Coturnix japonica: one gene and its partner. Each later gene encodes a partner of the first gene's protein in a complex. Links are inferred from orthologs where the notes say so. Each region holds a gene or a part of one and is shown on either strand. Other genes may lie near its edges. The genes, in order: TLN1 and APBB1IP.

Region 1 (4,564 bases):
GCCGGCACCCGGCAGCGGCTGCTCCACGACCCACCTCCAGCTCCGACATCATCCAGTCCCCCAGCAGCGAGCCGTCCCCCGCGGGGCTCTCCGCCGGCGCCTCATCGTTCAGCAGGAAATCGAGCAGATCCCCATCCGGCAGCGAGGCCGGAGGTTCGGGGGCTGCCATCGGAACCGGGAAGCGCCCAGACACAGCACGAAGGAGCCGCGGAGCCAAAGGGGGAACGGGGAGGCCAGGCCTGGGCGGCGGCGGGAGGAGGGGGGCGGGCCGGGCCTGTGGGCCCGAGCGGGGCGAGGAGACACAACGAGCGGGCGGGGGCCGCTCCGAGCAGCACCGGGACGGAGCAGGAGCACCGGGACAGCGGAGGGAACAGGCCGGAGCAGGAAGGAAGGACAGGCCGGAGCAGGAACAGGCCGCGGTGCCGCCCCGCTCAGCACACGGCCCGACCGCAGCGCCGCGCCCTGCGATGCGATGACGTGACCGCAGACCGGCAGCACCCGCGACACGTCCCGCCCCCACGCGGCGTAACGGGGAGAGGGAGGGGGGAGCGGGGAGCGAGCAAGGCACGGCCCGGTACGGCCAATACAGCCCAATACAGCCCAATACAGCCCAATACAGCCCAATACAGCCCAATACGGCCAATACGGCCCAGTACAGCCCAGTACGGCCCATTACAGCCCAGTACGGCCCAGTACGGCCAATGCGGCCCAGTATGGCCCAGTACAGCCCAGTACAGCCCAGTATAGCCCAGTACGGCCCAGTACAGACCAGTACAGCCCAGCACGGCCCAGTAAAGCCCATTACAGCTCAGTACGGCCCATTACAGCCCATTACGGCCCAGTACAGCCCAGTACAGCCCAGTACGGCCCACTACAGCCCACTACAGCCCAGCTAGAGCCCAGTATGGCCCATTACAGCCCATTACAGCCCAGCTAGAGCCCAGTACGGCCCATTACAGCCCAGTACAGCCCATTACGGCCCAGTACAGCCCATTACAGCCCAGTACGGCCCAGTACAGCCCAGTATAGCCCAGCACAGCCCAGTACAGCCCAGCACGGCCCAGTACAGCCCAGCACGGCCCAGTACAGCCCATTACAGACCAGTACAGCCCAGCACAGCCCAGCACAGCCCATTACAGCCCACTACAGCCCAGTATGGCCCATTACAGCCCAGTACAGCCCATTACAGCACAGTACGGCCCAGTACAGCCCATTACAGCCCAGTACAGCACAGCACAGCCCAGTACAGCCCATTACAGCCCAGTACAGCCCATTACAGCCCACTACAGCCCAGCACAGCCCATTACAGCCCACTACAGCCCATTACAGCCCACTACAGCCCATTACAGACCACTACAGCCCAGTACAGCCCAGCTAGAGCCCAGTACGGCCCATTACAGCCCAGTACGGCCCATTACAGCCCGGTACAGCCCATTACGGCCCAGTACAGCCCAGTACGGCCCATTACAGCCCAGTACGGCCCATTACAGCCCAGTACAGCCCATTACAACCTAGTACGGCCCATTACAGCCCTTTACGGCCCAGTACGGCCCATTATAGCGCAGCCCGTGGGCCGTGCCGTTCCGCGCCGCTCCGCTCCGCTCCCCCCGACGCATGCGCTGCGTGTTGCGGCGGGCGGTGCTGGGGCGGTGCCGGCGCTGTGCCGCTCAGCCTCGGCGGGCCCCAGCGCGCTGCTCGGCCGCGCTCAGGTACGGAACCGGCACCGGCACCGGCACCGGGACGGGCGGCCACGCACCGACACCGCGGGGCTGCGGCTGGGCGGGGAGCGGGGGGGAGGGGAGAGCGGTCGGAGCGGCGGCATCGCGGCGGCACGAGGCGCGGGGTGGGGGCTGCTGCCAACGCGGGGAACGTTGGGGTGCGCGGGGGGAGCGCTGCGTGATAAGACCCCGCGTGCGGCGGAGCGCAGCGGGACCGGGCGCGCCCCACCCCGGCTTGGCCGCCGCCCCTGGGCGCTCCGTGCGGGAGGAGCGCGGCCGCATCCTGTTTCCCGCACCCACGGCGCGACCGCGGCCCCGCGTGGGGAGCGAGGCGGTCCGACCCTGCGGCTGAACCCCCCGCCCGGCCCCGGAGCTCCGCGCCCCCGCCCGGCCCCGGGGCTGCATCTCTTCCAGACCCATATTTGGAAGCGATGCTGCGGGACGGGGACACCCCGCGCGGGCCGGCGGGCGTGGGTGCCGCTGCGCTGCGGGGCTGTATTGCAAGGCGGGTCGGGGCGTGGGACGGTCGGAGCATCCCCCGTTCCCGCCGTCGCTTTAGGATGCGGGTGGGGAAGGTGCGGTGCGGCTCCGTGCTGCAGGGAGCCGTCCCGGAGCCGTTCACCGGGCACCAAGTCGCCGTCCCCGCTGTCAGCCCGATGCCGCACGGCGCCCATCCCCGGCGGGCACGAACCGGCCGCGGCCGCCGGAGAGGAGGAAGCGGCGTGAATCAGCCGAGCTGCGTGGGGCTGAGTCACCGAGCTGCCCGCCCGGGATCCGCGGTGCTGCGGGACCGGCGCTGTTGCCTCTGGGTTAAAACATTAACTTCTGCCATTCGGTGGAGGAGGGGAAAGGCGTCGGAGCGTGAGACCGAACCGCGCTGAGCTCTCTGAAATGATTAAAAGGAAAAGCAAAAAAAACCCAAAAAAAAACAACCAGCAACACACACACACACAAGAAAGCGCAGAACAAAGCAGTTACAGTCCTTAAAGTGCTGTGCTGTGCCGAGGTGCGGGGTGCTCCCCGCAGGAGCGGAAGGGCTGTGGGAACTTCCTTTGGTGCGGTCACACTGCCGACCCTTTCCCCGAGCTCAGGGCAGTGAATTCGGTTCCTTCGGGAAAGCTCTGCGGCCGCTGGATGTGTGCCACGGGCGTGCAGTGGGGCTGCCTTGCAGGCACAGCCCATGCGGTAGAACCTGGTCGGGCTCTGCTTTGTTTTCTTTCTTTTCTCTTTTTTTTTTTTTTTTTTTTGCTAACATAAAACTTTCTCTGTACCCGTGCTTGCAGCAGCGCTGCTGTGAAGCCGGGAGGTATAAATACAGCGGCGACGTCATGGGGTGGAAAATCGCTCTGTGCCTCGGGGATGGCGGCGGAGGCGTCGTGGGGAAGGGAAGAGAAATGCAGAAGTGCCCGCAGCCGCTGCTGCTGTGCTGGCTTATCTGCCTCGCCTACCAGCGAGCGCTGCTGACTTGTTTGCTCTCCCTGGAGGGCGGCCAGTGCTGAAAATTGGTGTGCATTCATCACATCGTTTGGCTTTTCGTTGTTTTTTTTCACCTCCTAGTGGAGCAGCCTGGGGCTGGGAGTCCTCTTCTTGTACTTTGTCTGGTCTGTGCCCTCAGGGCACCATGACGGTGTGGCCCTTGTGCCGGTGCTGTCATCAGCACAGAGCCCCACATCTGCTTCCTGCCGTGCTGGTGCCTCCGCAGAGCCCACAGAAGGGCTCTCGCTGCCCTCTGATGCCCAAATGCACCCAACCCCTGCGGTGGACCCGTGTTCTGTCCCCATGCATACCCCCAGTGTGGAAATCTACCCAGCTCTTCCCCGTGCATCCCATCCCGTGTGAGGCAGCAGTCAGCCAGACCTTCCCCACCGCCACGTTGTTACAGGGCTGCTCTAAATAGACTACTTCTGCTTTACACACTGGTGGAGGGTAGTGCTCAAAGCACTTCCTTAGAACGTGGAAAGAGCAACGAGCCTCTGGTTTTTACGTGTCTTAAGTGCCTTGCACAGCGCTATTTGGGGGCACAGCACCATTTGGGGTGCAGGATGGTGGCCACGTGTGGCTGCTGCCGGCCCCGCAGAGCTGGAGCTGCCCGTGTCGCTCTGCAGTTTCCCCTCCAGCACATCCTGCAGCTCTGGGCCGATTTTGCAGCAATTCACGAGTGAGGCCGAGCCGCTCTGCTGGCCGGGTGCGGCATCCCGTTTTCTTTGCAGTGCTGTCCTGCTTTGGGACAGTTTCAATCACTTTGCTTGCCTCTGCTCTCCTCTTCCTCCCCGCTCCCTGACCCTGCCCTGCAGGCAGAAGCGGGGGGAGGGATGGAAAGGGCTCAGCGCTCCGTTCCGGGGTATTTTTAGATTTAGGAAAGAGAACGATCCCAGTCCCGCCGGCCGCAGCCGCCCCGCCCGTCGGTCCCCTCGGATCCCCGACGGCCTCTTACGGCTCCTGGCCGTGAAGCTGCGGGGCGGCTGCGTGCGGGGCCGTCCCGCTCGCGTTGCATTCCTCGTCGGCGGGGGCCGAGGGCCTCCGACGGGGCTCCTGCGCTGCATTGCCGAACGGCTCAGGAATGCGCAGCTGGAGCGGCTCCACGCGCTGGTGGAGGCGGCACCGCGCTCCTCCCGAGCAGAGCCCTGTGGCCGCCGGGATCTTGTGGGGAGGAAGCTCCAGAGCCCCCTGGAGCAGACTGCAGCAAGCTCGGTGATACCCCAGCCCCTGTCTCCTCGAGCAGCACAGTGTGCGCTTCCTGGGGTCCCCACAGGGCTCCCTGCAGGATCCCGATAGTGGGGTCAGACCCTGCACCACGTGAGGTTTTCTTCTTGTGGTTTCTTTGCCACAGTTTTAATTAAAGCCCC
Region 2 (3,808 bases), on another chromosome or scaffold:
GAACTGCAAAGCACAGTTATTTCAGTGAGCTTTAGATCACGTTATCTGGTACTTCCTTAAAGGTCTAAACCAAGATGGGGACGTATTTGTAATACAATGGACAGAGCTTGTCTTGACAGCACCTCTTCTGTATCAATAATACTAGTTAAATGATAGATTTCAGCTTCTGAACCAAGTCTAGTTGTTGTTCTTTTAAATACTGATTCTCTTTTAAGATAAGTTAACTATTATCTTTGAGACATAGAGAAATGGTGAAGATCTTCCCACATTTACAATTTTCATTCTTCACACCAAGTACTAAAAAGTCTTATACATAAAATGAAACTTTATCCAGTGAAATACCTCAGCAATGTCCTCTTCTTAACAAATTTTCTGTTTCTTTTGCTTTTTTTTTTTTTTTTTCCTGTGTTAGGCTAAAAGCAGAGGCACCAGTGATAATGAGGTAATTCATACTCAGTTTGTGTAGGCATTTAAGCTGCAATGAATTGCTCACAGTTTTAGGTAAAACTGACTGGTATAGTTCTACACCATCTGACAGAGTACCTTTCACTTTCCCTAAAACCTTTCCATTCCCTAAGTGTAAAGAGCTCCTCTCCACCCTGGTTTATCTGCACATGAATACTCAAAGAGACACTTTAAAATTCTTCAGGATTTCAGACTCATATTTTTGGGACTGCATCACTCTTCTAACACACACAGTCTCCCCACAGAACTAAAAGGGTAAATTCTTATCTCCTTATCCACAATTTCATGTCAACTTCAAATACTTCTACTACATATGCCATGTTTGACTTCAGTTGTTAGAACAGATTTGCATGAAAAACAAACATGGAGGAAGTTGTGATAACTGAAATTTTAGCATATTGGTAAGTCAATTTTCTAAAAGTAGCACCCACTGATAATTTCAGCAACTGCTAAGGGAAACATCCAGAGAACCTTCTCATCAGTAGCAGTAGTGTTTACTGCAGTAAACAAAGTGATAGCTTCACAAAAAGATGGGATATTTGGCCACCCGTTGCACAGATGTCTAAGTGAAGCTCTCCATTACTAACTCAACAACACTTATTTAGGAAAAAAAATATATCAGTAAAAATCTTTCATTATAGTAAACCATTTTCAGTGATCAAGTTCTGTCTTGGACTATCAGAATGGCAATTAGAAATGCAAAAGGAATGGGCAACATGTCCAGGAATTGGCAGAAACTGCCACACTCACAATAAAAGAAAAATCTTACTCTACAATTTGAAGCTGTTTTGTTAGTGTAGAGTCTGCTTAAGATACTTATACATGGACTTCTACTGGATACCCACATTTGTTCCAATGCAAATCCAATCCTAAATTTACAAGTTACTGAACTCTTGGAACAAGATTCCTCTCCGACTTACCTGGCTGAGTGGCTCGGGAGGAGGTGGTGGTGGTGGTGGCGGAAGGTCTAAATCAGGGGCTGGAGGTGGAGGGGGCAAGTCATTCTTAAACTGTTCTGTAATTGTAGTACAGGGACTTAATTTACTATAAAAGTCATTATCCATGTCTGTTGAAGGCTGAGTGACCACACTTTTCTGGTTGCCAGAAGTTTTCTGGGCTTGTAAAGTTCTCTGTTCAACCTCATTTATGTCTGCTACAAGGTCAGCCATTAAGGCATCAAGGTCCTTGTCCTCTAGGGCATTTAGAGATTCTGTAAAGAAAACAAAAAATACATCAAGAGTGAACGCAATGAAAAAATCTGCTACCAGTTCAGTGAAGATTAAATTACAGGAGACATGGTTACTGTAAGATACAAGGGTTATGGGAAAGGCTTTTAAATGGGTTCAAGAAAACAAACATGCTTTAGGAATGGCTATTAATCTAGTCATACTGAAGTTTTGAATAGAAGGAACTCCGTGAATACAAATTGAACAGGACAGGAAGTTTCATTTTCATTGCTATGGTCTCAGATCTGTATGTTTTATGAAATCTAGCCCTGATTCAACAAGGTTGATGGGCACATGCTTAGTGATATGGATGCAAGAAATTCAAATTGTTTGAACCAGACATGTTGAAAGAGATACTTTGGAATAACATCCTGTAGGATAATTTAGTTTTCTAGAAGAGAAGGGTTCTATGAGAATCACTGCATTCAGTGGTTTAAATCACTTTGAAGAGTCTAGTTCAAGAAAAGAATGACCAATTGTAAATGTTTTAAGTGGAATTTTGGAAAGAGATGGAGAGCCCTGAACTACACAATATGTATGATAATACAGTCCAACAAAGAATAGATCATTCATCAAACAAAGTGAATTTGTTATTGGACCACTTCCGTTTCCTCTGCTTTACCTGTTACACTGACAGTGCATTTTCATAAGTGTTTCTTTTCAGTGGAAAAGCTGCCTTACAATCCTCTATTTATATACCTCTAACCTCTTTGCTGGTAGAGACATTTTACCATTATGTAGCTTAGTAGTAAATTCATTCTGGCACAATAACACTAGTTAAAATCAGCTCATATGCAAACATGCAAACAACCAGCCCCCCAGAAAAATGCAAAAAAGAAAAAAAAAATCACAAGAAAGAGCACATTCTTTTTTAAGCTCAGATCAACTCCCTGACTCATGTCAGGGAAGCAAGCAGCTGTACATGCAGAAGTGACAGTACAAGCCAAAATGAGAATAAGTAATGTAAAATGGAAGAAACTAAAGCCAGTATTTCCACTGGAAATAAATACTTCCACAGCTTTGACTTCACACTGAGGTAACACAGTTTTCTATTAACTTAAATCTTTTCACAAAGAGGTTGCCTATTTGGAAATATTTTAGTGACCTTCTTTTTTTGATTTCCCTCTACACTCTGACATTCTAAAAAGTCCGATTCTTATGTCAGACCAAGCAATGTCCCTTTAAAAACACTTGGTCCCTTTGGAGTTTCCTAAACTGAGACACACAAACATATCACCACTCCATCAAAATAGTTCTATTTTTAAACTTTATTTTAGATCAGAAGTGTTTGAAGCTTTTTTTCATATTCATTGCTGTGAGGTATTTAAAATAAGTAGAAAAACCATGAATGAGTCAATTCAACTCCTTACCGTTTAAATCCTTAAAACCTACAGTGAAGCTGAATTCCTTGTTGGTCACTTTGGGGGATGGAGTTTGTACAGTCTCCACTCCTAAACTCTGTTAAGGTAAAAGAAAAAGGAAGATATTTTAGTGATATAACTAGTATTACAGACATTAGCATTTGTCAATTAGTTACTGGAAAGTGCTTAAGTCAATTCTTTTTGTTCTAATCCCCTGCCATAGGCAGGGACAACTTCCTCTAGACCAGATTTCCCAAGGCCCCATCCAGCCTGGCCTCAACCATCTCTAGGAATGGGGCATCCGCAACTCCTCTAGGTAGCCTGTTCCAGCGCTTCAGTAACTTCATAGTAAAGAATTTCTTCCTAATTTACATCTTCCATTTTAAAGCCATTACCCCTTGTCCAAACACTACATTCCCTGATAAAGAGTACCAATTTAGGTACTGGAAGGCCACTACAAGGTCTCTCTGAAGCCTTCTTTAAATCAAACAACCCCAACTCTCTCAGCCTCCAACAGGGACACTGAAAAGCCAGACTCATTTTGAAAGGCTTTTTGAGTTTTCCGGGAAGTGAGTTGGAGGTGTGTGAAATAATTTAGCTGCGTATGTACAAAGATTTGAGATATGAAGTGCCACTTGCTCCAGTATTATATTTACTAATATAAAACGTAATCTTGTTCCTGTTTTTTCCCGGTGTTTGAAAACAAATAACACCATCTAACCAACAACAAAACATGCTGCTGTTTGCAATGGAAAC

What was found.
Region 2: the proteins of TLN1 (region 1) and APBB1IP are in contact, whole or in part, in a crystal structure (PDB 4W8P), measured with the Mus musculus proteins. The link is inferred for Coturnix japonica from reciprocal best matches to the Homo sapiens genes TLN1 and APBB1IP. Residues at the interface, in NP_035732.2 of Mus musculus: Leu1492, Ala1495, Thr1496, Val1498, Ala1499, Thr1502, Ser1503, Cys1506, Asn1507, Arg1510, Val1526, Ala1529, Lys1530, Ala1533, Asn1534, Thr1536, Ala1537, Val1540, Ile1543, Lys1544, Asp1547; in NP_062329.2 of Mus musculus: Asn5, Ile8, Asp9, Met11, Phe12, Thr14, Leu15, Glu18, Met19, Leu21, Leu22, Ser25.

Annotation. Positions count from the first base shown.
Region 1 is NC_029547.1:8,425,852-8,430,415, forward strand, and holds the start of TLN1 (talin-1), read left to right. Parts: upstream 1-1,582; 5' UTR 1,583-1,709; intron 1,710-4,564. Other genes in the region: CREB3 (cyclic AMP-responsive element-binding protein 3), read right to left, coding at 35-169. UniProt on the Homo sapiens protein: High molecular weight cytoskeletal protein concentrated at regions of cell-matrix and cell-cell contacts. Involved in connections of major cytoskeletal structures to the plasma membrane.
Region 2 is NC_029517.1:14,640,588-14,644,395, forward strand, and holds part of APBB1IP (amyloid beta A4 precursor protein-binding family B member 1-interacting protein), read right to left. Parts: intron 3,150-3,808; coding exon 3,062-3,149; intron 1,676-3,061; coding exon 1,386-1,675; intron 1-1,385. UniProt on the Homo sapiens protein: Appears to function in the signal transduction from Ras activation to actin cytoskeletal remodeling. Suppresses insulin-induced promoter activities through AP1 and SRE. Mediates Rap1-induced adhesion.